Linked DNA regions of Lepisosteus oculatus. The protein of the gene in region 4 purifies or fractionates together with the protein of the main gene of each other region. This does not show direct contact. Links are inferred from orthologs where the notes say so. Each region holds a gene or a part of one and is shown on either strand. Other genes may lie near its edges.

Region 1 (7,735 bases), on a different chromosome or scaffold from region 4:
GTGCAGCTTCTCACAGGCTCCTCTGTGCTGAGACCACTGCAGTCACAGGTACTGGCCAAGAACAAGCCAAGAAGGCAAATAACCCTCTTTTAAAAGACAGAAGTTAAAATTACAGTCTGCAATGAAGAGAGAGAAAGGAAAGATGTTGAAAGACAGAAGAAAGCAGGACACTGAGCCCCAGAGACACAGGGTGGCACAGTAGGACACTGAGCCCCAGAGACAGACTGTCACATCAGGACACTGAGCCCCAGCAGGATACTGAGCCCCAGAGACACAGGGTGGCACAGTAGGACACTGAGCCCCAGTAGGACACTGAGCCCCAGAGACAGACTGTCACATCAGGACACTGAGCCCCAGAGACAAACTGTCACATCAGGACACTGAGCCCCAGCAGGACACTGAGCCCCAGAGACACAGGGTGGCACAGTAGGACACTGAGCCCCAGAGACAAACAGAGCACAGGACTGTGAGAAAGAACTGTACCTCCTTGCAGGCCTGGAATTTCTACCAGAAATCTGCACGTCATTTCAGTTATAGTCTACTTAAAGGAAGTGTTAAAACCACTCGGATAATTAGAGAGAAAACACAAGGAGGCTAAAGAAGGTTTATGTCCCATGCAGCTATTTACTGACCACATCAACTAATATTTTATGGTATTTTAACAATTTTGGCCAGTATTGATACAGTCTAGTGCATCTGATGAAAAAGCAAGATCGGCACTTAAATTCACCAGTATCTACTGAAACACACCATCTCAGGACAAACTTAATCTATTACTGTTTTTAGTCCAGCTAAAACCTCAATTACCTAACTGATACAATTAAGTGTTTAAAAGTCAGTTGGCTGTGATTTCCAGGGATTATTCGGGTACTTCTGAAACCTGCAGGACCAGGACTGCCTAAACCAGTCACAGCTGATACATCATATCTCAGTGACTCACTGTCAGGGGCTTCTTGTCATTATCAAGTTTCTCTTTCCACATCTACAAATTTAAAAGGCCACTTTTTATCCTACCATATACAGATCCATCAGGATTACATGTGATCATAAAATAGCTTAAAGTTCAGTAGAGTACCATACAGTTGTTTTCACGTAAAGATTGAAGAACATGGTGTAATAAGTGAAAAACAATCTAAACTGTCTTTTTACAGCAGTGTAGCTATTTTAGATTTTTATATTACAATAAAGTGCACTCTAGAACACAATTAAGCCAACAACCTCCACACACAGGACAGAAGACGGGTACTGTCAAGGAAATTTAACTAATGAGCATTGATGTATAAAGCTCTCAGTGTAATGCTGTAGTGCTTAGAAACAGTTGAATTTGTAACAGAGGATTTTGTAATTTGTAACACTTCAGTAGCAGTGATTGTGACCAGGATAAGAAAAGCATATTAGAAACGAGTAATGTGCCTTCTTATGACAATAAACATATCAGTTCAGAGAGGTCAGAGAGAAGACTACAGGGCCAGATTAGCTCAGTCAAACTGGGCTGTAGAAGGCAGGTCTCTACTAACACTTGGCTTCACTTTCTCAATCTGCCAGGATTGTACGAGGACAAACACACACAGGACTTACATTTCTCCAGTGATATACTCCAGCCGCTTCCCCACTGTAGCCTTCGCTTCATCCAGGTCCTGTTTGACTAGAACTGGGCCAATCAGCTTGTAGACAGTGTTCTGAGCCTCCAGCAAGTCCAGCTCCTGCCCCCACAAAGCCAGAGCAGAAGATAAACCAGTTAGCCCTCAGAGCCACATGGGAGGACCTGCAACTCACCCTTAGTAAAGGCTTCAGCCTCACACCACAAAGGAGACGCACATCTGAAGAAGCGACAAGCAGCAGGGAATAAAACTCTCTCTGATGCTGACGAACCAGCAACAGAACCAGAAAGTCAAAACAGAGGATCAAAGAGGTCTGAAGGGAGAGTGGCGCCTCACCTCCTTCACGATGTTGTTCTCCGTCAGCTGGGCTTCCAGCTTCTGTCTCGCCGACATGCTTTTACTCAGATCTGCAAAGAAACAGTTTTAATATTTAGGCCTCCTATTTCCCAAGCAGTCGCAGCTCTCAGGGAACGTGAGTAACATAGAGGCCAGTGTGACAGTCACATTAACGCACCACTACTCTCTACCTATCGTCTTCTGCGTCAGCCCACAGGCTTTTACTGGAACAGGCAGAGCACACTCCTTCACAGCCACAGATCAGCAGTTCTTCATACATCAGTAATGACACTTTAAAAGCACAAATATTGCCTTAAACACTCTTAGCCCTCCATCCATCTCCTAATCGCTTCATCCAGTTCAGGGCCACACAGGAGCCACAGTCTCTCCCGGCTAGCAACAGGCTCAGGGCTGGGTACCCCAGACGGGACCCCAGTCCATCCCAGGAGACACACAGACACACACACTCGCACCAGGGCCAGTTTTCCCAGAAGCTGATCAACCCACCAGCACAGTCTGGACTGTGGGAGGAAACCCACTCAAACACTGAGAGAACATATAAGCTCCACACAAACAGCACCCCAGGTCCCAGTACCATGAGGCAGCAGTGCCGCCCCCTTTATTACTGCACGATTCATTATCATCACCTAGAGCTGAGGCAGAAACCCCAGGCTCCTTCACATTAAAGCGGCGTTATGTTAACACGAAGAAGGACACACAAGCGATTGGGACGCTCCCCGTGAGCTGACCTTTAACAATTCAACAAAGTCGCTACCGGAGTGGTCACCCACTTAAAGCACTGGTCATTTCACATTCAGCTTCGAGTTTTGTGAGTCTCCAGTATCAGACGTGTCCAGCGACACGATGACCAGAACAGTGCGTCCGTAGCCACTATCAGCTCAAAATACAGAATGCGATAGACACCACTTTGTATCTAGGAGAACTGCAATAATAAATTCAACTTTGCCTTTCTGGGTCTGTTGATATTTTTCGAGCTCAGTTTGAAGTCTCTTCTGGATTGCTTCCGCCATCGCTGGTCCAACACCAGGTTTTAGGGTACCAAAAGCGGACGGAATAATATTCCGATAAAAATGCCAAATATTTTTTTTAATTATTGGGCTCGGCAGCCTTTTTACCACCTCGCCGCACCACCTGCCTAGCTTCACAGTCTGAGACAGGAAGAGCTATGGCGTCGCACCGGATATGACGCTACCACGGCACTGACTTGTGATGGTAAAAGACGCCATGTTGGTAAGGGACAGAGAAATAAGAAAAAAGGTTGGGTTGGTTTTGGATAGACTTGGAAGACTTTCTATTTAAGCATCTAACTGAATGTTAGAGTTAAGGAGTTTGATATAATTCGCAAGATGTAAATAACATGTATTTATCATTAATCTGTTATTAATAATGGGTAAATATATACACTCAACTGTCGCTTCTCCTTCCTTTGATATTTATAAGATGGAAATGCGATATTCCATTAAAAAGTTTAAATACACTAATGCAAAAATGCATTGCAAAGATACATTTTGTATTCAGGTTTGTAATTACCTCTGGCAGTGTATTTGTTTCACTACCGCTTTTTCCTTCTCTCATTTGTATTATTTGATGTTCAAACGTTTGAAAAAATAAGAAAAACATTATCGTTTACCGAAAAGCAGGATCGTTTGCATAAAATGCGTAATATAAGAATTACGAACACGTTTAGATGTATAGATTCATTAACTATTTTCCCTAACTCATTTTGTATATAAGACGTATACATGCAAGTACACAGTAGCATGCGCACTCGTGTTTTGTAAATGACCCATCCTGCCGGCTGTAAGAGAGCTACAAGCAGGAACGAGCTGGCGCTGAGTGTTTCCCTTCCTTCTACTCATTCAGCACTGGACAAGAAATCAACACCCTGTCGCCACTGCAACACAACTAAAAAGCATCATCTACTGTCATTCGATAATTTCATGCACTTTGCAAATTACTGTTTTTTAGGATCAGAAATAGCCTCAGCGCCCTCCTTTAAAAGGTTTTGTATCCCAAAACCAGAACCGCAGGAGCCTCTCGCTGTATGTGTTGGGTGAAATATAGAGACACTGAGTCTGGTGAGTCAGCAGTTATGGTTACAGCCTCCAGCTTCTGGAACACAATTCTATCAATTAGATTCTCATCTAATTTATAACTCCTCAAACTAAAGTGAAATCATTGCTTCATGCAAATCAGTCTTTGCAATCATGAAACTTCTTCCTCCTTATCCAACATCATGCTCTCCATCTTGATCAGTTCTAATGTACTTCTTGAAACTTTCAATGTATTTCTTGTCAGTGCTTATATACACTTTACCTATTGAAATATCTATCATACACTATGTCTTGAAATGTCTTTTCTGCATCTTGTATCTCAAGGGCCGTGTCCTGCCCAGGGACCACAGCTGCAAATTTGCTTTCTAGCAGACACTGGTGCAGATGAAGAGCTGTGCGCTGTCCTCCTCTTCAGCTCCTTCTTCTCCAGCACTTCACCCAAAAACAAGGCACGTTTGGAATGAAACCATTAGTATGACACACTCTCAGTCACCACAGGTATCTTACCTGTCAGCTGCAGGTCCACTGTCACTAGAGAACTATTTAGGGATTTCAAACCTTCACTGAATGCGTTTTCCAGAAAAGGCCATTCCTTCTTTCCAAATTACCCTTTTTTTGGTTTGAGTCACTTCAATTCAGGGGTGGAAATACAGATCTTTATTTGCACAACAATTCTCATCTCTTCTGTAAAACATCAGGATTTGTGTAGCAAACTGGAATTGTTGCTCATTTGAATTTTCTCCCTTTTACAAACAGGACTGGCTGCTGTGCATATGAATGAACTTGTGTACTCTCGTCACAGAGCAACATGACAAGACAATTGAATACTGGCAACATTCTGTGAGAATTAGAGCACTTTCTGCACAGAACTTCAGTAATGTAGCCATTTATAATAGTTTGAAAGCAGACACTTGAAATGAACAAACCACCCATAACTGTGATCAGTTACATTACATTCCGTCTCAAACCACAATGTAGTGCTGCCTGCCTCAATCCCAGATTCTAATAATAGCACAAAGACAAAGGACTGCAGCATCAGAGTGGACTTTATTACAGCTCATCTGTGGCAGAAAACTGCCCCAGGTCAGGAGGAGAGGTCTGACCACTGGAGAAACGGGTGGAATAGTCTGTGTGGATGAAGCCACAGTGTCCACAGGGCCCAGTCCCTCGCTGGCTCACTGTTTCTTCTTCTGCACGTGGGCACAGTCATACTTCCCACGGACGACCTTGAGCTTGACCCCGGGCAGGTCCTGCGTGCGCCCACCCTCCACCAGCACGATGTTGTGCTCCTGCAGGTTGTGCCCCTCCCCGGGGATGAAGCACACCACCTCCCGCCCGTTCGACAGACGCACGCGGGCACACTTCCGGTTGGCCGAGTTGGGCTTCTTGGGCTTGCGAATCAGGGTCTTCAGCACCACGCCCTTCAGCTGCGGGCGGCCGAAGGTGGGGCTGACGCGGGGCGGCTCGGGGCGCGGCCGGCCCTGGCGGTGCATCTGATTGAGAGTGGCCATCCCACGCAGAGGGGCCAGGGGCCAGCTGGCCACACCGCCTGCCCCGTGCACACCTGCAGGACGGAGAAAGCGAGGAACAGCATGAGAGAGGGAACGGGCCGGTCAAGACCTGTCTCAGACACTCTTCTCCATCGCCTCTACCCAAGATGTACCAAGTATGTCGCTTCATACTTCTCTACCGGGTCACCGCAGAACCGTATAAGTACAGCAGAACCTTCAGTTACAGCACCCTAGGCCCCGGATGCTGCTGCAGAGCTGGGACGGACAGGGGACACCTGTATCAGCGCCCCTTGGCAGACGAGGTGGTACAGACAGCATGCATGGGTTAGGTCAGGATTTCTCCTGTGTGTGAAATTCTTTTAAATGACTTATTAAAATCAAAATGGTTGTAGCATGTAAATGCTAGCGGTTCACAAATTAAAACCACACCTATTTTGTGCACAGAAAGATTTTTTTTACCATTTTCAATAATTATATGATTCAAACACAACTGCAAACCATTCAAATACTTTGTAGTTTTGTTTCATTAAGCACCATTTCACCATTTGTTTCATAATGTTATTCCAACATTATACTGAGCAATTCATTTAAAAATTAAATTTTACCCTATTATCAGTTTCTCAGCCAATCTGCAGCTTTGCTTGAGTCACCACAGAACTGCCAAAGCTTTTATGTTCTAATAGGTTTGTTTCTATGTGATGTTTGTGATTTTCACACAGTGCTCAAACGTCAAACACATAATCAGGTGCACATATACCCTTTTTCTCAGGTGCTTCACTCACATACTCCTGCAGTTTACTGCTCATTCTGATTGTCTTTTCCCTGTAAGGAGCTCCCGGCAAGAACGCGCAACAGGCCCCAATCCCAAGGCCTGCTACAGTCACTGTGCTTGAACTGGCACCAGCAGGTTGGCAGGACTGGCCCAGGACACTCACCCCAGAGCAGCGCTGACACCACTGGCCGCAGATTGGAGAGCAAAGCCATCCCTGTGCTGCGGGACTCCTGGGGAGAGAACAGAAGCAAGGCGCCGTGAGGTGTCATCAGCACCAAGGCACCTTCCTGGCACATTTCAACTAACGAGAGAAGAAGCGACTCCTCCGATAGTCAAATACACGTCACAGGCATTGGCACCATAACTCAAGTCAGCTTCCTGTTACACTGTGATGTTTTAAGCTCTGCAAAATCTAGCACAAATTGCCAGGAGCAAGGGAGAAAAAATAAAAATTTAACTTTGATGTCACACTTCTATTGTCTACTCACTCCTACTAATGTCTTAGACAAAATCCCCAAGTAACAAACTTAAAAATCTCCAGCCTCTTTGTGTGCCTACTGCACAAAAGCCTCTTGTAGTTTGTAAAACCTGGAGCGGATCAGACTGCTGCGCACTGGGAATCTGACTGACAGCACTGTCACACCTGGAGCGGATCAGACTGCTGCACACTGGGAGTCTGACAGCACTGTCACACCTGGAGCGGATCAGACTGCTGCACACTGGGAGTCTGACTGACAGCACTGTCACACCTGGAGCGGATCAGACTGCTGCGCACTGGGAGTCTGACAGCACTGTCACACCTGGAGCGGATCAGACTGCTGCACACTGGGAGTCTGACTGACAGCACTGTCACACCTGGAGCGGATCAGACTGCTGCACACTGGGAGTCTGACAGCATTGTCACACCTGGAGCAGATCAGACTGCTGCACACTGGGAGTCTGACAGCACTGTCACACCTGGAGCGGATCAGACTGCTGCGCACTGGGAGTCTGACAGTACTGTCACACCTGGAGCGGATCAGACTGCTGCCCACTGGGAATCTGACAGTACTGTCACACCTGGAGCAGATCAGACTGCTGCGCACTGGGAGTCTGACTGACAGCACTGTCACACCTGGAGCGGATCAGACTGCTGCGCACTGGGAGTCTGACAGTACTGTCACACCTGGAGCGGATCAGACTGCTGCGCACTGGGAGTCTGACTGACAGCACTGTCACACCTGGAGCGGATCAGACTGCTGCTGACTGGGAGTCTGACAGTACTGTCACACCTGGAGCGGATCAGACTGCTGCGCACTGGGAGTCTGACTGACAGCACTGTCACACCTGGAGCGGATCAGACTGCTGCACACTGGGAGTCTGACTGACAGCACTGTCACACCTGGAGCGGATCAGACTGCTGCACACTGGGAGTCTGACAGCACTGTCACACCTGGAGCA
Region 2 (7,891 bases), on a different chromosome or scaffold from region 4:
GCTCCGCACCGCGACCCCGAACTGGAGGGGCCGTCAGGAAACGGGTGGACGGTGCCGGGCCCCGGCGCCCTCCCTCCCGGCCGGGCGCCGGCCTCACCTGCTCCTTGTTGCTCTCCAGCGCCGGCAGCACCTCCCTCACCGTCCGCTCCACCAGCACGCCGCCCACCAGGCGGAAGCACTTCCGCGCCGGGTCCACCTCGCGCAGGGTCTCGATCACCAGGCTGGCGGGACACGCACAAGCACAGGGCAGCTCAGGCCAGGCTGCAGGCACAGCGCCCCCTCCTGGACCAGGACTGGACACCCCCGCTGCAGACACACTGACCCCTCCTGGACCAGGACTGGACACCCCCGCTGCAGACACACTGACCCCTCCTGGACCAGGACTGGACACCCCCGCTGCAGACACACTGACCCCTCCTGGACCAGGACCGGACACCCCCGCTGCAGACACAGCGCCCCCTCCTGGACCAGGACCGGACACCCCCGCTGCAGACACACTGACCCCTCCTGGACCAGGACCGGACAGCCCTGCTCCAGACACACTGACCCCCCCTGGACCAGGACCGGACACCCCTGCTCTAGACACACTGACCCCTCCTGGACCAGGACCGGACAGGCCCGCTGCAGACACACTGACCCCCTCCTGGACCAGGACTGGACAGCCCTGCTGCAGACACACTGACCCCTCCTGGACCAGGACCGGACACCCCCGCTGCAGACACACTGACCCTTCCTGGACCAGGACCGGACACCCCCGCTGCAGACACACTGACCCCTCCTGGACCAGGACCGGACACCCCCGCTGCAGACACACTGACCCCTCCTGCACCAGGACCGGACACCCCCGCTGCAGTCACACTGACCCCTCCAGGACCAGGACTGGACAGCCCTGCTGCAGACACACTGACCCCTCCTGGACCAGGACTGGACACCCCTGCTGCAGACACACTGACCCTTCCTGGACCAGGACTGGACACCCCTGCTGCAGACACAGTGCCCCCTCCTGGACCAGGACTGGACACCCCCGCTGCAGACACACTGACCCCTCCTGGACCAGGACTGGACAGCCCTGCTGCAGACACACTGACCCCTCCTGGACCAGGACTGGACAGCCCTGCTGCAGACACACTGACCCCTCCTGGACCAGGACTGGACAGCCCTGCTGCAGACACACAGCCCTTGTCTATGTAGATGAGGTGTAGAGTATGTGTATAGAGTCCATGTACTTCTATATATCCTAGGGCACTCTTGAGCTGGGAGGCACGGTGGTGCAGTGCTCAGGGTTGCTGTCTCACAACTCTGGGGTTCTGGGTTCTATTCTGGACTAGAGGAGCTGTCTGTGTGGAGTTTGCATGCTCTCTCCGCATTCGCATTGGGTCTCCTCCCATGCTGGTGGGGGAACTGGCTTCTGGGAAAACTGGCCCTGTTGTGAGTGTCCTGCCCTGGACTGATGTCCCATCCAGGGTGTATCCTGGTGCATCCTGCTTGCTGGGATAGACTCCAGCTCCCCAGGGACCCTGTACTAGATAAAGCGGTCAGAAGATGGCCGGATATGTATTCAGCGCAGTAACAGGTGGAACACTGTGTCCACCTGCAGAGCCGAACCCCTGGGAATGAGGATCTGCACAGGGTCCGGACGGGAGCAGGCGGCCAGCAGACGGTACCTGTGCTCGTTGATTTCCATCTCCAGCTCCGCTGCCTTGGACGCCATGCTGCGCTGCTCCTGTCTCATCCTCTGGAACCCGGCCACCACCTGACAGAGGGAGACACGTCAACAGACTGGACAGGTCCACACACTGCACTGAGAGAGAGGGGTTCATACAGACTGGACACTCCAGTCCATTAACACTGCACTGAGAGAGAGAGAGGGGTTCATACAGACACACTGACTGGACACTCCAGTACATTAACACTGCACTGAGAGAGAGAGGGGTTCATACAGACACACTGACTGGACACTCCAGTACATGAACACTGCACTGAGAGAGAGGGGTTCATACAGACACACTGACTGGACACTCCAGTACATGAACACTGCACTGAGAGAGAGGGGTTCATACAGACTCACTGACTGGACACTCCAGTACATTAACACTGCACTGAGAGAGAGAGGGGTTCATACAGACACACTGACTGGACACTCCAGTACACTAACACTGCACTGAGAGAGAGAGGGGTTCATACACACACACTGACTGGACACTCCAGTACATTAACACTGCACTGAGAGAGAGAGGGGTTCATACACACACACTGACTGGACACTCCAGTACATTAACACTGCACTGAGAGAGAGGGGTTCATACAGACACACTGACTGGACACTCCAGTACATGAACACTGCACTGAGAGAGAGGGGTTCATACAGACACACTGACTGGACACTCCAGTACATTAACACTGCACTGAGAGAGAGGGGTTCATACAGACACACTGACTGGACACTCCAGTACGTTTCCCTTACCCGTTAAGCAAAACGGGAGCTATTATTAGTGAGGATACAATCATCATATTTTTGTGCCACTAGAAGTAATAAAAATACGGTAGCCAGTGACTGTTCCGACAAATTCGTCGTATTTCGTGAAAACGCCGCGTCCAAACCCGGCTCATCGCCGTACTGTACACGGTAACGGTCCGGTTATCAACACGGGCGTTTCAGTCCACAATAAAAACCGTGCGCCCCCTGCGACAGGGGGGGGTCTCGTCTGCCGTGCGGTAGCTCATCAGAGCCCGTGTCGCGTCCCGTCGTGTCACCGCACTGCAGAGATTGCATTACTGCTGGTGTTTCCAGAAATCGGGGCTGCTCGGGTTGCGGCGCTGGGCTCAGGCGAGCGTGCGATCAGCCGCCGCATGCCCACACCTCCTCTGCCGCCCCCTCCCCTTCCCAAACCCGGTCCGCCTGGAGAACGGGGCTCCCCGCCGGCCTCGGGCGTTACCTGCTCGGCCGTGGGGCCGGACTGCTTCCCTCCGCCGCTGTTGCTTTTACCACCGGCCGTGCCGCCGCTGCTGGCGCTGCTCGCCGCCATCTTGACTAGGGGAACGGCCGTGCTCCCAGGACCCCTCCTTACTACCCGGGGCTGCCCCGCCAGCTGCCTGCTGGACACCAACGCGAGAAGCGCCGAGACGTAGCCTACCCGTGCGACAACCACGCAAATTCTTTTAATGATAATTTAAAAAAACAAACAAACAATTAGGTCTGAGGGAAATTCACCTTTAATGGAAAACAGGTAATTGTAATTCATCGAAAACAGCCATTGTCAACATGCCTAGGAAATTTCGTTTTAAGATATTTAGCTGCAGGGGGGAAAAATGTCATTTGTTGTCATTATCGTGTAAAGAAGCATTTTCGCTGTATTTGAAATGTGATCTTGTGTACTTCTGAACAGGTATTATAGCGATAATAGACGCATTAAGTCCGTTAATCGTGGAGATCCTCAGGTGGAAACGCATGACCTGTTTATATAAAGTTAGACTAACAGGGTATGCATACTGCTGTAGATCTGTAACGCCAGAATGAACAATATAGGCTCTTTCTTTTCATGTCAACCCGTGATCAATTTCTTCCTGAACACAGGTGTAAGCCTAAAACTCAGAGTGCATGTCCTGGACGGTTGTTTCTAACTTTGTTTAATAAAGTAAATCATCTGATACCCAAGGTAATCATTCTGGTTGCAGTTCGGAGAAACGAAATAAAAAAAACGCACACAAAACAGTTCAAAGTGCGCCTTCACCAGCGGCCACACTCTATTGGTCACAATACTGGGGCTGTTCTGTTAAATTACAACAGGAGGAGCGACGACCTTTTCTGCCTCGATTGAGGTTCCTGCTCTGGGCTCCGTCCATGCTGCGACGCGGGACGCTGTGGAGTCGAGCGAGCTACGCCTGGAGCACAGCCCTCCGATACACGAGTTTCACGTCTCGGAGAGCGCGCCCAGGCGACCAGGAGAGGTAAACACGCCCCGTGGACCGGCGGGGTATTTAATGGCCGCCGTACTGTACGTGAAAAGCCCGCTTTGTTTGAAAATCTTATCCCGTTCCTCTTGGTCAGGTTTGGGTGTGGTGCCGGTGGGGGCAAAGTGGATCAGTGGTTTGCACTGCTGCTGCATGGATACATTTTCGCACCTGGGGTGCTGTCTGTGTGGAGTTTGCATGTTCTCCCCAGGAGAAACTGGCCCCGGTGTGTGTGTGTGTGTCCCATCCAGGGTGGACCCCACCTTGCGCCCGTTGCTTGCTGGGATAGGCTCCGGTTCCCCCCTGTACTGGATACAGTGGTGAGAGAAGGGCTGGGTAGAGCCCAGGTCTCTGCTGTAAAGGGCACTTGTCTGGCTCTCTGTCCCAACGGGTTGACCTCAGTTTATACTCCAGACCGTCTTCAAACCCAGCCCCTTCAAACTCGGGCTCCTCAGAGCATAAGAGAGGTTACAAACTAGGCCTGCAGTGGTGGTCCTGATCCATACAGGTCACCCCCCCTCATCGCCGGCAAACTTGTTTAAGTGACTGATCAGTGCAGCGAGTCAGAATTGTGATGTTATTTATTGTGTCATCTCTACACTTCTACAGCTGTCCTCTGGACCCCCACTCAGAGCGCTTTACAGCTCATGGGGATCCCCTCCACCCCCCAGCAGTGTGCAGCCCCACCTGGGTGAGGCACAGTCCGCTCCCCCCACCCCAGCTCTCAGCGTGATGGAGCCAGTTCAGAGAGGGGTGCCTGAACTGATCCCGGTCCCCCCTCCTGGGACTGAGGCTGGTCCGTCCGGAAGTCCGTTGGGCTTAAGCTGCAGCTGAGGCTGACTCCTGTCCAGTCCCGGGGAGGGGGAAGACTAACACAGGCGCGCTCTCCCCCTCCCTCCTTCCCAGGATGAGCTCCCGCAAGCCGGTGGCCGCGCTGTGCCAGGTCACCTCCACGCCGGACAAGGAGGCCAACTTCGCCAGCTGCGAGGGGCTGGTGGAGCGGGCGCGCGAGGGCGGGGCCTGCATGGCCTTCCTGCCCGAGGGCTTCGACTTCATCGGCTCGGGCCGCGAGGAGACGCTGGAGCTGGCGGAGGCGCTGGAGGGCGAGACGGTCGGGCGCTACGCGGCCCTGGCCAGGTCCGTCCACCGGGGGGCGGCCTGGGGGCTCGTTACTCGCTCAGGCTCTGTTCCCTGCTCTTACTCACATGGAGGAGGAGGAGGAGGAGGAGGGTGGCATCTTTCCCAGTAGAACCAGGAAATAAACCGTAGAGTCCAGGAGAAGCACAAGAGCTGGGTGCCCCCCGTCGTCCAGGGCCTGTCTGACGTCCCTCCCAATTCTCCCTCTCAGGAAACTGGGGATCTGGCTGTCCCTGGGGGGGTTCCACGAGCGAGGGGAGGACTGGGAGAGGGATCGCCGGATCTACAACAGCCACGTGATCCTGGATGACCAGGGTACGCAGCCCCCCACCCCGTCCTGTCCTGTCCTGTCCTGTCCTGTCCTGTCGTGCTGTTCCATCCACCCACCCATTCTCCCACCACTTCTTCCAGCTCACCGCCGAAGTGAAGCAGGAGCCTATCCCAGCAGGCAGCGGGCGAAAGGCGGGGTACACCCTGGAAGGGATACCAGTCCATCACAGGGCAAAACACACGCATGCACGCACGCTCACACTCACACCTGGGTCGATTTCCCAGAAGCCAAGTAACCCACTGGCGTGTCTTTGGACTGTGGGAGGAAACCCACGCAATCACAGGAGAACATGCAGACTCCACACAGACAGCACCCCTGGTCCGGAATTTAATGTGGGGCCCTTAGCACAGCGAGGCATCATGTTGACCACTGCTGTTTTTACATTGGTCATAATACCTGCTGTCTGTGGCTGAAAAAAGTCAGAAAATTCTACAATGATCAAATAATTCATCATTCATAATTCATTCAGGGCATGGTGACATGACCCCTGTCACTCCACGGCCACACTCATCCTCTCTTTCTCCCAGGTCACATTGCAGCCGTCTACAGGAAGTGCCACCTGTTTGACGTGGAGCTGACAGGAAGGGGCGTGTCCCTGAAAGAGAGCTCCTTCACCATCCCGGGACCCTGCATCGTCCCCCCCGTCCAGACGCCCCTCGGCAAGGTTACGATTCTTCTCTTCTCTCTTTCACCGTTATCTCCAGCACCGGGGCAGCCGAAGACCACGGGCTGTTAATGGGCTGCCGGTGCAGAATGAACACTGTGCGTCTCCCAGGTGGGGCTGCTGGTGCAGAATGAACACTGTGCGTCTCCCAGGTGGGGCTGCAGGTGCAGAATGGCCACTGTGCGTCTCCCAGGTGGGGCTGCTGGTGCAGAATGGAGGCTGTGCGTCTCCCAGTTGGGGCTGCTGGTGCATAATGAACACTGTGCATCTCCCAGGTGGGGCAACAATTCAGTGGAGGATGATGTGGGTCTCCCCCTTTATGTGAAATGCTCTGCTATACCAGTACAAATCCAGTCTGCTATTACTGATATCACCAGAACTTTTAATTTGACTGAGTCAGGTAAGGTCTTCAGCTGTAATTAATGATCGCATCCAGCTGTTTTGTTTTCCAGCTGGGACTGGGCGTGTGTTATGACCTGCGCTTCCCTGAGTTCTCATTGGCCCTCGTGCGGAAGGGGGCGGAGATTCTAACCTATCCTTCAGCCTTCACCGTGGCAACGGGGACCGCCCACTGGGAGGTGAGGAAGTGACCTCACGGACGCGATGGAGAGGAGGACGGGGTGGGCGGGGCCGACGTGTGTACGGCAATCTTTCAGTGAGTTTTAGGACTGCTGTCGGTAGCAGTGTCTCTGCTGGGCTTGAGCAGGGAGATCCACAGACACGGACTTGTGTCGTCCCTGGTGTTTTCGGCACAGAGAGATGGCCTGGGTGCCCAATGTGAGAAGCCCACACAAGCAGTCATGCACACATTCTTAAGTCATGGGTGTCAAACCCAGTTCCCTACTCCACATTAACCCTGAGTGTCGTTGGGCGACTTGGACACATGCAGGACGATCCTACAGGCCAAAGCCTAGTGAGGCCCTGTTGTTGGTAACTGACCTTAACTTGACCTGGGAAACCAAATCTAATCGCCTCTCGGGCGTTAGAAAGTAGTTTAAAATTGAAGAAATGATTAACTTGTCTGGGGCAATGAGAGAGACTTCATTGACACCCGAGATCTTCATCATTCCTCAGTCGAACCCGAGCCCCTCCAGGCTGTTCTGGTTTGTACGCAGCCCGGCCCGGGGTGACTTCATCGCTGCAGTTGGCGGGAGTGTGGGTGAAGGTGATCGAAGGAGAGGGGTCCCCGTCTCTGAGGCCTGTTCCTCTGCGTGTGCCCCAGGTCCTGCTGCGTGCCCGGGCGATCGAGACGCAGTGCTTCGTGCTGGCCGCCGCCCAGGTGGGGCGCCACCACGCCCGCCGCGCCTCCTTCGGCCACGCCCTGGCGCTGGGGCCCTGGGGCGAGGTGCTGGGGGCCTGCGGGGCCACGGAGCCCGGGCTGGCGCTGGTGGAGGTCGACCTGCAGCGCCTGCGGGAGGTGAGGAGGGACATGCCACTGCAGCAGCACCGGCGGGGGGAGCAGTTCTACAGCCAGGACTGAACCACTGGACACCTGCGGCGGGGGGAGCTATTCAACTTGTTCTCCTATTCTGTGTGCAGCCCTGGGGGGGGCAGCACAGAGTCCCACTGCTTCTGCTTGCAGCCTCTGACCTTAATGACCTAATTGAACATTAAGCAATTAATTTATGGTCAGTTTCTTCAGTTTGTAATCTGTACCGAACTGAAAAGCTTCTTCCTCCCTGAGCTTCTGGGGCTGTAGCGAAATCTGGGGTACGTCCCTGAGCTCTGGGGTACGCGCTTAAACAGGCGCAGTGGCCGCACTGCGTTGTTGTAGCGCCCCCTGGCGTGTGAAGGAGAGGAGAGCCGCC
Region 3 (7,220 bases), on a different chromosome or scaffold from region 4:
CTTCCCACTTCAGGCCTCTGTGACTTTAATAGTAAGTGCATGACGATGACTCTCGGTACTATAAATGTAGACAAACTGGCTGACGTGAAGCCAAGCCTGTGAGGCCAAGTTAACACAACGTTGCAGTGCTGTATGGTACGGAAGAACGTTTTCAGGAACAATAGTCTCCAAATTGAGAAATTCGTTAAACACCTGCAAGTGGAATGACATGTTGGATTGCAAAAACGAAATACTATTATTAGCTTGAGATAAAATTAAACATTTTCAATTACAAACCCATCTAACTCTCCACAAAAGTAATGACAACACCAGTACTGTGCACTGGGAAACACAAGAAACCTATCCAGTGCCATTTCTGAAAGCGGTTTGAACCAAATAAAAATGTCTACCATTCGCAGAAGGCTAGGATTATTACACCAAGAGAAAATACTCATCACCAGTCTCTGTCAATCACACTTCCGACTGGACATATGAGCAAAAAACACTTGCTTTCCTGTGCATGTTTGCTTAACCTTGGACTTATCTGATTTCAGTCATTCTATTGGAAAATATTTGTTAAAAATCCCAAGACATTTTCCACTTCAGATCAGACCTACACAACACCCTTAGTGCTGTCAGGGGTTCATGTTCCCTCAAAGGCAGTGACGCATTCAACCCAGCAACATTCTTCAGAATGAACAGTGAAACACCAACCAGAGGTACTTCTTTACACAAAGGAACAGAAATTATCAATCCCAAAGAGTAAGCAAATCAACGGCTAGAATGCAGAAACCCTAAAGGTTTAATCACTAAAGCAATTTGAGGAGAAAGAAAGCACTTTATAAAGTAGTAAAAATGGAACAGGTTCCAGTTCAAGTCTCAGAGGAATCAGTCCAGGAAATGGAGAGAGCCGATACATCACTATTTGACTCCGGTATTTACAGAGAAAAAGGGTTAGATCTTCTGTAATATATCAGAGTTCTTTGAACAATCAGCAGTAATGGATAGAGATCATAAAATTTACATGAGTGGAAAGCTGTTGACAAAGTTCCTCATTAAAGTTAATTCTAATAACACAGACAACAGACACTCAAAGTAATGCATGCCCTTGGGTTCAGAACAGGTTAATGGACAGAAACAATTAGTACAGAAAAAAAGTACGACTGCTCAGACTGGCATTGGTACAGATGTAATTAGTGGAGTAGCATAAGAATATGTATCAGGATTGCCGCTCTCCCTAATTTTTAACCAGTGATCTAGGTTCCGGTATAGTTCACAGTCAAATGCACAGATGATATCACAATACAAGGATTAGCAAACACTGTAGAAACTGCAAAGGAATGGTAAAGAGACTTTAGCCAAATTTAACTGCAACGTGTAGTGGGAATCTGGAATAAGCTGCCCAGCATTGCTGTCAGAGCCAATAAGAGCCTCTGGCTTCTTTCAAGACACAGCTGAATGAGATCCTCCAGTCAGAAGAGGAGGTAGATTTGTGTTCTTCACACAAATGGTGATGGGTGTCTGCCACAAGCTGCCCAGACATTTTGTTGAAACTGATACCCTGGGATTCTCGCAAGAAATGGACAGATGACCTTCGCTTAGTTAGATGGGCCAAATGGCCTCCTCTTCTCTGTGACCTTCCTAAGGTTCCAATCAGACTCTATATGTAATAGGAATGTAGTGATACGAGTGCCAAAGCCCACAGTCGCAACGCTGGGGAGGCACAGCAGAGCCGATCCGAACCGAACGGGCCTGGGAGACCCAGACAAGGGGGCGAGAGAGACGCGGGGGTACTCACATCCTGCCGACGCCCTCGTACATGCGCGTGTCCGCGGGCAGGGTGGTGACCTCCGTGTCCGTCAGGTGGGCGTGTTTCTTCATGCGGCTCAGCTGCTCGATCTGCAGGTCCGCCAGCTTGACCTTCTGCTGGGTGTCGATCACCTTCGCCTGCAGCTCGGCAAAAGCCTGCGGGTCACACCGCATCACGTCACACCGCGGCCACTCGCAGGCAGGAGGTCTGCCGTCGTCCCGCGTGGCGAGGCACTGCGAGCCGGGTTCGGAGGCACTGTGAGCCGGGTTCAGAGCTGCTGCCTTGCAGGGCTGTATGTTCTCCCCGGATTCGTGTGGGCTTCCTCCCACAGTTCAGAGACATGCTGGAAGGTTAGCTGGCTCCTAGGACAGCTGGCCTTGGTGTGAGTGTGTGTGTGTGTGTGTATCAGTGTGTGACTGGCATCCCGTCCAGGGTGTATCGCACTTTGCACCCACTGTTTGCCGGGATAGGCTCCAGCATCCCCGAAAACACCGAGCTGGACAGAGTGGTTAGAAAATGGATGGATGTACAATTATGCACTGAGTGCAGAATAATGAGATTGTAATAATTAAACAGAATAAGCATTATTTAACAAACGGGCAGGTGTAGCTGCTACAAGGGTAATTCAGATCTCCCACGTTATAGAAGCATAGTTTTTTAGTCGATGTTGGTAACGACCGCGATGAGATGCAACACATACGCGGGGTGTCGGTTCTTGGCCTGACTCACGTTTCGTGTAATCACGACAACCTGAACACTGGGCATCCTGCTGCTGGGACTCTACTAATCTACACTATCGCGGAGGAAATAATCGTTCTATTTCCGAAAGCAGAATGACATCTTAAAACACTTAACAAAGGAGATGTTTGGCTATATTAAAAACAAACTGACGCACGCTGCACGAACCAGATAATACGACGTTAATTTAAAAATCTAATAATGGTAAAATCACGCAATTAAAAGACAAAACAGGTATGACTTTAAGCTAGCTAGCCTTTTTCAAACTCAGAGGTCCTGTACACGCTTTCTCTCCACCACACGCTTTGTGACAGGATTAAAGGGCTGTCTCCCCGTTTTAAAACCATCAAAAGGCTACGACATGAGAGATAAAGTTACCAGAAACTAAAATGCTGCCGTTGAGAATGACCAACCGTTATCGTATAAGAATGAAATAAAACATTTTACCTTTTTCAACTCGAGATCTACGGGGGCTGCCATGTTGGAGAGGTGAACGCATGCGCAGTGAGTCCTTATCGGTTGCTAGGCTGCATGCCGGTAGCTCGAGTCATTACGTCATGCAGAGACGGTCTTACCTCGACCGCGTGTTAAAACGCCTTGTTACAGTCGTACATAGTAAAAGTACGTTTCATAACAGTGTGGCTTAGCTTTATTTTGCATAAAATGGAGCAATTCAGTGTGAACGTCTATATCTGAATAATTCATAATGCTTAGAAAGTGCATTCATATTAGTAGCATGACAGGTTGGACGAAATTGGTTTTGAGACATTGACATGAAGTGCAGCCATCCTTGATCTGCTGTCTCTGACTCCTGCCGGTCCCAGCCTGTGCTGGCGAGCTCTGCCCTGCTCCCTCACGGCCTGCTTTTCTAAAATTACACACGCCAAATTTAGACCTCAGTCTTTAGATTTAAAATGAATCTAAATATAGATAAGTACTATATTATGGTCTCAATTTCCCCGTGTCTGTATCGCCTCTGTTCCCTTGAATATGTCCCGGTTGTTTGAGAAACTAGGTCAATAAGACCATCTTCCTTAATAGGCAACCATGCAACCTGAGAGAGAAGCAGTTATCGACCAAATGAAGCACATCCATTTCACGATCCCCATCATAATATCCCGGTGTGTTCTGGAAGATGGAAACCTCCCTGTAGGATATCATATAAAGTATAAATTTGTACCTATTCCTAAAGATGGGGAAGACGGTTAAGTCATGAATCTGGAGGTGAGAGAGTATTCAGGTTTATGCCCCAAACTGTCTATAAAATTCCATCTCGTCCATCCAGTTTCTCACAGCTTTATCCTACACTGTGCAGGAGGAGAGCCAGCGCCCATCCCAGCAAGCAGCAGACTGAGGGCAGAGCTTTCCCTGGACAGTGCGACAGCCCTTCGCACTCTATGAAATGTTTTAATATTCTAATGAATCCCCGGTTTCGTCGATCATGGTAAAACTGCCTTCAGAAAGGCGTGATTTGATGGTTTGACAACCCCCGCCTGACAGCGCTCTCTGGGACCAGGGCTGGACGCCCCTGCTGTAGGCCTCCGGTCAGCCACGCTGACCACGCTGACTCCGCTGAAGCCAGGCAGAGCTGCGCCGGCTAGAAGACGGCCCGCGGGCCGGCCCGGCTCAGAGCTGACACCGGGAGCGTGCGGACACACCGCCCTTGACAGGACTGTCTGGGACGGAGCAGTGCCCGGCCCAGCGTATCGACTGGACACTGAACATCTGACCAATGCAGTTCAAAGTCGAGAAACGGTTAAAAGTCTCTAGTCAAGTGTGTCCATGGCAGCAATCGCAAAATTGGAGTGGAATGTGATCCAGGTTGTATAACTGGTGCAATCAGGAGAAGCCCCTGCTCCTTGTGGAAAATGTCTTGACCAGTGCTCAAGAAAACACACGTGATTGGAGGCTTCCTAATACTGAATCTTCAAATGTAGCTGTAGATTTTTCCAGTCATCCGAATGTGAAGTGAACGCCTGTGTTCTGGATCCCAGTGGGTTACTGCTGACCGCACACAGGTCCAACACGAGCTCCTGAGGCACCTCTGTCGGTCCTCAGCCTTCGCTGCTGTCGTCTGTCTCGCGGTGGCAGTGCGCGTGGTTTCGGCAGCTCGCCCTCCACCTGTGTGGGCTGGGTGACGCAGCCCCCCTCCAGCTGGGCCGGCCCCCCCCACTCTGGGCCGGTGCCGAGGTCGCGGGCCCGGGAGCAGGGTGCAGGTGTGGGGAGACCACAGGCCTTGGCCAAGCTGCAGATCTGTCATGTTTCCACTCAAGGAAGAAAGAAGAGCCTGAAGAAACACACGGACTGGGAGCTGCTATCTTTCAGCAAATAATAAAGGGATATTCGGCGGTTCAGGCAAGGAGTGATACAACCGACGAAGCAAGCCAAATGAATGTTAAGGGATTGCGTCATTAATTTCCTAGTGTTGGGGGTTAACTCTCCTGGCTGAGGAAGTGACATCACTGGCGGAGGCCCAGAGCTGCTGTCACGACCCCCCTCACTTGCGAGGGATGAACCAGCGAGGCAGCTGCAGGAGTGGAGTTGTGGCGCAGGGAGGAGTGTAGAAAAGATGGGCGCAGAGTTGTGCACAGGAGCCAGGTTTTTTTACTGAAGAGCAAGTTTACAGTTTGACCTCATCCTGAAATTCTAACAGCCCCGTTAGTAACAGCATGTGTGACAAGACACTTATTGGGCACACTTCAAACTTTTACCATGGCTTGACTGTGTTTTACTACTCTGGACCATGGGAATGCTGTGGTTTAAGAATAGTATTTCCATGGAGTATTTACTCACATGCACCACAGTAAATCCACGAGGCAAATGGGAAAATCCTATGGTAAATATATTGCAGTAAACTCTCAGATGGGCACCTATTCCATTCTTGTGCTGAGACCCTTTTCATTGATGGGAAGAGGACAAGACCCCTAAGGGCCACTGTAAATAAAGTAATCCTCAGATTAAATAGCTACGGAAAACTATATGAATAAGATCGGCCTGTTTAACCAAAGACCATAAGTCTTTTTTTAAAGTCTGCCTTTTCCAGTTCAGCTGAGTTATTAATGTCCCAGCTGAGACAATAGCCAAGCCTTAACCGGGCTCGACAGGAAATATCTCCAGTCAAAATCAAAATGCGTCGCTCCTCTTTCATGTCAGGAAATGGTGGTTTGCTCTGTTTTGAAACCCAGGATGCTCACATTGTGCTGTGCTGTATTTTCTGCAGCACTTGCATGGTGTGGCAAGAAGTTTATGAGAAATCAATGTGACAAAAAACACCAGCTTCCAGTTTGTGACATCAGTGGTGTACAACAGGATGCCCAGAAGTGAAGGAATACAGGCCATCTCAAGAGTCCTTCCTGACAGCTGCGCTCATGCTCAGTGCAGAATTCAACCACAGAGCATCCTGGGACTGTTTGGTTTATTCCTGCTGCTTCTGAGACCATGAGCTGGTCCTGTCTGCAGACTCACTTGCATGAGTGAAATGTGAATTCTCCTGTCGTCGTCAGGTTGAATTCACATTGAAGCTGTGTGGCTGGAAGTGAAGGAAGCTGTGTTTTGCATCAGAGAATTGGGAAAGGCTTCACAGCAACTGGATTACAAAAGGACCGTTTTGTGGCGTTACACAAGCCGGGCGAGGACCAGCCTGATCCTACCAACCGCTCCCTTATGTTCAACACGGTTTTGCAATAATTTGCTGAGTTTATATACAATGTCTTAGTATTTCACTCCAGCAATCTCCTTTACTGCATTTCATGCAGAAAGTACCCAGCCATTTACATTGGGGAAACTGGACTGGCCAGCCATTTCAGGAAACCTGTCAGAGCAGTTGGATCCAGAGACCTGCCTAAGCCCAGAGCCCCACAGTCTGCTTCCCCATGCTCATGAGCACTGACCATTCCACACACCCCTGGCCATGAGCACTGACCACTCCACCCCCACCTGGACGTGAGCACTGACCACTCCACCTCCACTGGACATGAGCACTGACCACTCCACCCCCACCTGGACGTGAGCACTGACCACTCCACCTCCACTGGACATGAGCACTGACCACTCCACACACCCCTGGCCATGAGCACTGACCACTCCACCCCCACCTGGACGTGAGCACTGACCACTCCACCTCCACTGGACATGAGCACTGACCACTCCACCCCCACCTGGCCATGAGCACTGACCACTCCACCCCCACCTGGACGTGAGCACTGACCACTCCACCTCCACTGGACATGAGCACTGACCACTCCACCCCCACCTGGACGTGAGCACTGACCACTCCACCTCCACTGGACATGAGCACTGACCACTCCACACACCCCTGGCCATGAGCACTGACCACTCCACCCCCACCTGGACGTGAGCACTGACCACTCCACCTCCACTGGACATGAGCACTGACCACTCCACCCCCACCTGGACGTGAGCACTGACCACTCCACCTCCACTGGACATGAGCACTGACCACTCCACACACCCCTGGCCATGAGCACTGACCACTCCACCCCCACCTGGACGTGAGCACTGACCACTCCACCTCCACTGGACATGAGCACTGACCACTCCACCCCCACCTGGACGTGAGCACTGACCACTCCACCTCCACTGGACATGAGCACTGACCACTCCACCCCCACCTGGACGTGAGCACTGACCACTCCACCTCCACTGGACGTGAGCACTGACCACTCCACCTCCA
Region 4 (7,308 bases):
AGAATAAAGGAGAATCCTTCAAGCTGATTAACATACGTTTCTGTTAGTTTAGCTCCTCCCGGTCACCCCAGAGGAGACGCAGAGCTACCCCCGGTTGCCCCAAAAGGGGACGCAGTGCTACCCCTGGTCGCCCCAAAAGGGGACGCAGTGCTCCCCCTGGTCGCCCCAAAAGGGGACGCAGTGCTCCCCCTGGTCGCCCCAAAAGGGGATGCAGTGCTCCCCCTGGTCAACCTAAAGTTAACACTACAATATCTCTGCTCGTCAGGGTTGGAATAACCGTCAACTTAACGCAATTTACTAATGAGACGTAGCAGTATGGATTAAATACTTACGCCAAGCCACAAACAGACTTTATCTGTGGGGGGTACCAAGGCCTTGCAATACAGGTTATCAGCCAGCAGGAAGTGGGTTTCCAAAGGATCTGTGGTGTCCTAAGGCAGGTGGAAATAAAATCACAGTAAGCAGCTGCAAAACACACAAGAGGGGTGGAAAAGAAATTAGACCCGGTGGGCAGTGACCCCATGCGGCCGAGATGTACCTTTTTCTTCTGCATGTGTTTTAAAATTTCGAGTGTTTGCTTAATTTGGGGGATCTGGCTTTTCAATCTGAAAAGAGACAAAAACAGGAAAGCTGGGAGGTTAATGGGCAAGACCGTCTTCCATCACACCGGGACATCTGGAGGACGAGTCTCCGGACGCAGGACCGGGAGCCGTTTGACGGCGTTCCTTTACAAAGCCCTGAAAAAAATGGCTCTCTCTTCATGCGCCACTACATTCCGCGAGCTCTGTTCACGGCAGCAAACGCTTTCTACTCCCAGAAAACTCCCCGTTTCTCAAAACAGGCAGTTTTTTTAAATCCCACTTAATGATGAACAGCTTCAGGCTCCTCCTAATCACTTAACCTCAAGACTGACTGGAGCAACACAACCCTCTCCTGCGAGTATTCAGACCTACGGTTTAGCAAGACCTATAACCCCCATCACCCCCACGGGCGACGGGCGGCAGAGACGCCCTCGGGCTCACCTCAGCTTCTTCTGCGCCAGGTTGAGCTCCATGAACTTGTACTTCTGATACTGCTCATCCAGCTTCCTCAGCACAGCGTCAGCCGTCTCATTGCCAGGCTGCTTCATGAAGGCGTCCACATCCTCCTGCGAGAGAGAGGATCTGTGAAATCACCCCTCCTGATAGTTCATCGGGCAACTTTACTCGGCCGACTCTTTTATCCAAAGCATCATGTTTCTACCCTTTATTTACCACTGGGTATTTCACTGGGGCAGTCTGAGTGATGTACTTTGCTCAGGTGTACAGCAGCCAGTGCCCCTCCCATATATATGCCATATATGGACATCAGGGCGGTTACTCCTCCCACTTCCTGTCACCATGGTAACCCGTTGGCACACTAACCCTCATGTTTAAAACCACAAAGGCAAAATCTCTTCCATACTGGGTAACAGGAACTGAACTGTTTCGTTATCGGCTTTGTGAAATTGCTCGGGAATGCATTGATAAAGCCGGGCTTTCTGCTACATCAAGACTCCGGCAGCTATTTAATCCCGAGTGTAGGCCCGTCATGGCAGACGTGCCCTACTCTAGTAGAACAAGACTCCACTTGAACAAGACTCTTGTTCAAAGAGGCACTAGTGAACAAGAGCCCTCTGCCCAGGCGCAGTTCTAGTACAATACTGCAGGCTCCTTCCTGATTTGCTCTTGAATCCTGAACTGAATTCAGAACTAAGAGAACAAGAGGCAGATGGAGCTGGGACCAGGAAGGCAGCTGATCAGAAAGGTCAGGGATTTAATTAATTGTGCCGACATCGCCCCCAAGAACCACATTCAGGAAGACTCGGGTTCCAACCCTGGGCTCAGAAGCTTAACTGTTTTGAAGATGATACTAGCTCTGGGTCTGCGTCAGTCCCATTAATCAGCCCGGAAGACGTCTTTATTCGTCGTGTCTCCCAATATAAAAGCAGTCGGAGGCTTATCATGGCTCTGTAGAGTCTCCACTCAGGAGACAGTTGTTCTTGTGCCTGAACATGTTAAAAAAAAACGGTTTCACTAAGAAAATAATCTATGTAATGTTGGGCCAAAACGCTTTTTTTTCCCATAATTTGCCCTGTAAAAAAATCCAGATGACATTTACACAGAAACAACTCAGCAACGGGTCGAAAATTACACCAGTACGGGCAATAGCACAGAAACATAACGATAAAGACAAAGGGGTATGGAAGATGCCATCGCCACTTTTGGTAATGAACTATTGCAACATATGATTTGCTCTGATTTCTTAACCGGACCTCAAACGGACATTTCGTTTACGGTTCTCGGTCACGCCATCTAACGACAATGGAGCTAGTGAGGTTCTCGCTGTGGAGCAGACACGGGTCCACCTCCTTCTCCGCAAACGACAAGCGCGTCTCCACGACCCGAGGTCCTAACCCAGCACGCAGTGACTCATCTGCACCGCGCTGGAGCCCGCGGCCGGAAGGGCTCCTGAACTGAAATATTGACGCTGTCAAACCCGCACCCCAGCCGAACTGCTAAAAAATATATATATTTTCAATTAAATAATACAAAATACGCCGATCCAGCCCCCCTGATTATCTTATAATGTTGGTCGGAACTTGAACGTCCGAAGATTGTAGTTGAGACAAGACATTCAATCGACTTGCTTCCACGGTACAGCGGTAACCATTGGATACCATAAAATCTATGCTCTGGGTGTGGAGGTATGCTTAAAAATGCATTTGAGCTCTAAGGGTGCGGGCTGCTCAATGCCCCATTGTCGTCCGCCCGCAAGCGAGACCACCCTTTTCCTTGTAGTCTCAGATCCCGGTGCTTAGCTTTCATAGTCGAAATGTCTCCAACTGCCTTTTAAGGATGTGGATGGCTAGCTACTGTAATATCGGATTCTCCTTTCTGCACGGAGTTCTCCCAGCCCTTCATCATCAATAATTCTCCACATGTAAAAAGGCACAACAGACGTTGCCTTTGGCCTCTTACCACAAATACAGCCTCCGGGATGCCTAAGTGTTTTCGCTTGCCTGCTGCCACAGCATTGCTGCTCTCCGTGGTCGCCGCCATCTTGGACAGATTTCCCCTCACGCCATGCAGCGGCGCTGACGTTGTGCGTAGCGAACGTGGACCCCACCCATCACCTTTCCCCGCCTCCTCAGCCGCAACTGCAGCTCTGATTGGACGCCGGGGAGAACGGCTCGAGCGGGTAGGACCTATCGTAGAGAAACGCAGCCGGATATGGGCGAGTCCCCCGCAAGGCTTTCTGGAGAGTGTAGTTTAATCTTTCGTTTCTTTGTCCAAGGTGGGGGAACAAGTTAGGGCGGGGGGGATCCTGGTGTTGTAAATTTCAGGCTACTCCTGAAATAATGCTAATTTATTTTCGGGAGGAAATCGTTTAAAACACCGTCATCGTGAAATCTGACACTAAAAGCAAGGCTTTGAATTTAAACAGCTGAGCAGTTATCACAATCAAAATATGCAACCTAGCCTTTATGACAAGTAGTTAATCCCATGGATCCATTCATTTTCTAACTGCTTTAGGGGTGTCATGCCTATCCCAGCAAGCAACAGGCACAAGGCAGGATACACCCTGGACTGGACACCAGTCCATCATAGGGCAGACACACAGACACACACACCAGGGTCAGTTTTCCCAGAACAGAACAGAAAGTTAACCAACCAGCATGTCTTTCGATTGTGGAAGGAAACCAGAGAACCCAGAGCGCACCCATGTAATCATGGGGAGAACATACAAACTCCACACAGACAGCACCCTAGGATTTGAACCCAGGCCCCCTGCACTGCCAGGCTGCAATGCTGCCCCATCCAGCTGATGAATATTTATTTTTCCAAGTAGAGAAAAACTGTTTTAAATAAAAAATGATTAATCTGCCGCCGATTTTGATCGTGCGGCTTAGTTCAAAAACAGATGTTCCCTGGATCCTGGGTTGAGTTTCAGACGAGGGCACCTTCTGGGTGGAGTGTGCATGTCTTCGCATGTTCCCACGGGTTTCCTCTCGCTCTGCAAAGACATATGTGAGCTACGTTCATTATATTTGTTGTCCCCGCTGTGTGTGCGCGCACTGCAGTGGATTAGCGCCCCGTCCGGGGTGCGGGTGCCGTCCTGCGCCCTGTTTTCCCAGAATGGGCTCCCGGTTGGCGTGACCCTCGCCAGGAACAAGCAGCTTCCTGACAACGGGAGGCAGGAAACTCAGTGGCCAAGAAAATCTTGAGAGTGAAACAGCATATTATAAACATGCAATATATAAACAGAATATCGGGTGGAGTGGTGGCTCTGTGGCTCAGGATCTGCGCCTGTGACTGGAAAGTTGCCGGTTCAAATCCTGCAGCTGGCAGAGGAATCCTACTCCGTTGGGCCCCTGAGCAAGGCCCTTAACCCTAACTGCTCCAGGGGTGCTGTACAATGGCTGACCATGTGCTTTGACCCCCTGCTTCTCTCCCTGTCTGTGTCTCATGGAGAGCAAGCTGGGGTATGTGAAAAGATGAACTCCTAATGCAAGAAATTGTATATGGCCAATAAAGTGATCTTATCTGATATTAATAATAATCCTCATCATTAGTGTAATCCTTACAGTTCTATAGTGCTTTTTTGCAAAGTACGTTACAGGTAACGGGGAATCCCACTAACACCAGCAGTGAACAGAATCACCTGGACGATGTGACAGCAGCCATCATGATCATTTCTCAGTGGGGAGGAGAGCAGAGTGATGAAGCCAGTTCATGGGGATTATTAGGAGGCCGTGAGTGGTTAAGACCAGGGGAATGGCTGTTTGTCCTATAGGATCATGCTAGTTATCCCTGGGATCTAACTTCCTAATGTTATTTGTTTTCCCAATTCGTTTATGCATTTATATTCAAACTTTTCTTCTTGCATTATCTTAATTTATGAATTGATCTATAAGTAAGCTCATGGATATCAACCCCAGAAACTCAAGTCTTCTGCCACTTTGAGCACAGACAGCTGGCTCAAACGTAGCCGTCTCCTGAAGTGCTGTTCATCTTTTCTTTCCTTTTGTAGTTTTTTACAGCAAAAAAAAACAACAACCTGACTACAGGCTCAACACGCAGCATTGAAACAAAGCTGTTGTAAAGCTGCACGTTTCCTCTCAGGGAAAAGTGGGCTTTATCCTGATGGGGTTCCCGATCTCGGCTACTTTTCAAGGACATGAAGAAAAACCAAAACAAGACAAGACAGACAACACCCACACGGGGAGAAACAGTTAATCAAATATCCAGTTTATTCAAATATATAGAAGGCTTTCTCAAATAAAACTTAATGAAACGAAATGAAACGCAACCGGAATCCTGCTAACGGCAGTGCCCCGGCCGGGCCCTGGCAGAGGAACGCCGAGCCGTTGCGTGGCTGTCAGGGCTACACGCGCGGACAAGGAAGTGCTGTGTTACTGGGGGGGATGGCCGGGAGCAGGCTGGTCAGCATCAGCCTGTGCTCTGCAGAGAGCGGTGCTGTCAGGCACAGAGGCTGTGAGATTGTCCCACCAGTTAAACTCTCATTAAAGGCCCTTCAGCGCATTTCCCCTTATATTTACAGGGAGATCTGCTCCTCCCCCCCAAAAAAGCACACTGAGACGTTAGTTCCTTAAATCTTCCAACTTAGTGATTTCCTCAACCTGACCGGTTACCCTTATGAAACGGAGCGCCCTCCTCATGGTAAAACAAAATCACAGCTTCTTCTCTTATGAGAGTGCTCATGGGTGTGCAGGTCGTTTGAAAGAGACCTGACGGTAATCACAGGCTGGAGAGGAAGTATCTCAGTGGATCTGATTTAAAGGGTGCTCATGCGGTCCACGGCACAGGGATGCTGGAACTTTCAGCTGGAAGCTGGGAAGGTGGAGCTACGACTGCCCCCCCGGTCCTGTGGGAACGGAGCCTGGCCCGTCCTGTGCTAATGGGTCCATCACAGCCCGGGGGGCAGGGGGCAGGGGAATTCGCTGTTCGCGGGGGGAGGGGGAGATATCAGGAGAGGGACCGGTTTCGGGTCCTCTCAGACCGCGACAACAGACACAGTAAAATACACAAGGCAGGTAGGGCAAGCAAAAGTGCATCAACGAAGTATCGATTAAATTATCACAGCGCTCCTACGGTTTGCCGTAGGTCACGCACAAAGAGGTCCAGAGTGGTCTGTTAGCTTCCTTTCACGAAGACTCTTCTCTGCTGAGACAATCGCTATCAGTGAGTGCGGGCAAAGCAAGCCAAGAACCAGGAAGGGCGCCCAAGACAGACATTTCCCACTAAGAACAGACAAGATTCTTCTTTAGCCTTTGCATGCACGGGCTGCCCCCGCATAAAGGCTGTTTCTTTAGGAATTTACTACCTTGTTTTAATCACAAAGCATGAAACCGTTTAAAGAAGTTGAATGATATGGGACTAGGGCACCGGGACCCCCAGGCTACGGTCCCCAGCCCAGTCTCCTGCGCTCAGTCCTGAAGGCAGTCCAAGTGGTTCCCCTTCACCCAGTAACAGATCTGTGCAAACTTGAGAGGGGTGAACCGGACGGCGACGTTGAAGTCTCGGTTCTCCCCGTTGATCTCCAGCCACTGGTGTCCCGAGAAGACTCCGATCACCTTCCTCTCCCAGCGCTCCAGCGCGGCGTCCCAGACGCGGCCGTACACCCCCGAGCCGCTGGCGCCGGGCCGCGCGTCGCAGTGCTGGTAGATGAGGTCGTTGGACTCGTCCTCCACGGGGCAGAACCGGTACACCAGCTCTCCGGGCCGGTCGCTGTCGAACCCGGAGAAGTGGATCCGCTTGCCCGCGAGGTCCTGGGCGGAAGGGGCCACGGAGAGACGCATGTAGGGGCGCCGGTGGGGGGCGCGCAGCTCCAGGAGGGCGTAGTCGAAGTCCATGCTGGCCTCCTGGGGTCCCTGGATCCAGCCTTTCGGAACCCGGGTTCGCTTGACCCTCACCCAGCGCACCAGCGGCTTCCTCTCGGGCTGGGACCCGGGCGGGTGGCGCTCGGTTTTGGTGCTGTTCGAAGGGGGCATCAGAAAGCCCACTCTCAGCTTGCGGGCCCCCTTGACGTAATCCTTCCCATCATGCACGCAGTGGGCGGCGGTCAGCACATGGCGCTCCGACACCAGGACCCCGGTGCAGCCCGTGGAGATGCGCACGGCGGTGGAGAAGGGGTAGTCCAGCAGGAAGTTGTTGCCGCGGATATTGAAGCGGCCGTCGGCCCCGTAGATCTGACGCTTGCGCCTCCCGCGCGCAGCGGGGCGCCACCTCCTGGGGGGAGGCTGAATTGCGGGGCCGGGCTCCTCCT

What was found.
Region 1: the proteins of vbp1 (region 4) and pfdn6 purify together in Homo sapiens (affinity purification with mass spectrometry; 6 studies listed by BioGRID and IntAct, counting the BioPlex papers as one, with this or other methods). This does not show direct contact. The link is inferred for Lepisosteus oculatus from reciprocal best matches to the Homo sapiens genes VBP1 and PFDN6.
Region 2: the proteins of vbp1 (region 4) and pfdn2 fractionate together in Homo sapiens (co-fractionation; 8 studies listed by BioGRID and IntAct, counting the BioPlex papers as one, with this or other methods). This does not show direct contact. The link is inferred for Lepisosteus oculatus from reciprocal best matches to the Homo sapiens genes VBP1 and PFDN2.
Region 3: the proteins of vbp1 (region 4) and pfdn1 purify together in Homo sapiens (affinity purification with mass spectrometry; 4 studies listed by BioGRID and IntAct, counting the BioPlex papers as one, with this or other methods). This does not show direct contact. The link is inferred for Lepisosteus oculatus from reciprocal best matches to the Homo sapiens genes VBP1 and PFDN1.

Annotation. Positions count from the first base shown.
Region 1 is NC_090713.1:23,463,266-23,471,000, reverse strand, and holds the start of pfdn6 (prefoldin subunit 6), read right to left. Parts: upstream 3,126-7,735; 5' UTR 2,969-3,125; coding exon 2,905-2,968; intron 2,009-2,904; coding exon 1,938-2,008; intron 1,704-1,937; coding exon 1,579-1,703; intron 1-1,578. Other genes in the region: mrps12 (small ribosomal subunit protein uS12m), read right to left, coding at 5,188-5,576, 6,459-6,507. UniProt on the Homo sapiens protein: Binds specifically to cytosolic chaperonin (c-CPN) and transfers target proteins to it. Binds to nascent polypeptide chain and promotes folding in an environment in which there are many competing pathways for nonnative proteins.
Region 2 is NC_090713.1:22,363,861-22,371,751, reverse strand, and holds the start of pfdn2 (prefoldin subunit 2), read right to left. Parts: upstream 3,066-7,891; 5' UTR 3,027-3,065; coding exon 2,937-3,026; intron 1,754-2,936; coding exon 1,665-1,753; intron 222-1,664; coding exon 98-221; intron 1-97. Other genes in the region: nit1 (deaminated glutathione amidase), read left to right, coding at 3,842-3,948, 4,858-5,088, 5,300-5,403, 5,947-6,083, 6,536-6,661, 7,306-7,563. UniProt on the Homo sapiens protein: Binds specifically to cytosolic chaperonin (c-CPN) and transfers target proteins to it. Binds to nascent polypeptide chain and promotes folding in an environment in which there are many competing pathways for nonnative proteins.
Region 3 is NC_090706.1:41,109,086-41,116,305, reverse strand, and holds the start of pfdn1 (prefoldin subunit 1), read right to left. Parts: upstream 3,073-7,220; 5' UTR 3,008-3,072; coding exon 2,975-3,007; intron 1,945-2,974; coding exon 1,778-1,944; intron 1-1,777. UniProt on the Homo sapiens protein: Binds specifically to cytosolic chaperonin (c-CPN) and transfers target proteins to it. Binds to nascent polypeptide chain and promotes folding in an environment in which there are many competing pathways for nonnative proteins.
Region 4 is NC_090703.1:47,078,424-47,085,731, reverse strand, and holds the start of vbp1 (prefoldin subunit 3), read right to left. Parts: upstream 3,111-7,308; 5' UTR 3,081-3,110; coding exon 3,000-3,080; intron 1,148-2,999; coding exon 1,023-1,147; intron 606-1,022; coding exon 539-605; intron 432-538; coding exon 333-431; intron 1-332. Other genes in the region: prss23 (serine protease 23), read right to left, coding at 6,470-7,308. UniProt on the Homo sapiens protein: Binds specifically to cytosolic chaperonin (c-CPN) and transfers target proteins to it. Binds to nascent polypeptide chain and promotes folding in an environment in which there are many competing pathways for nonnative proteins.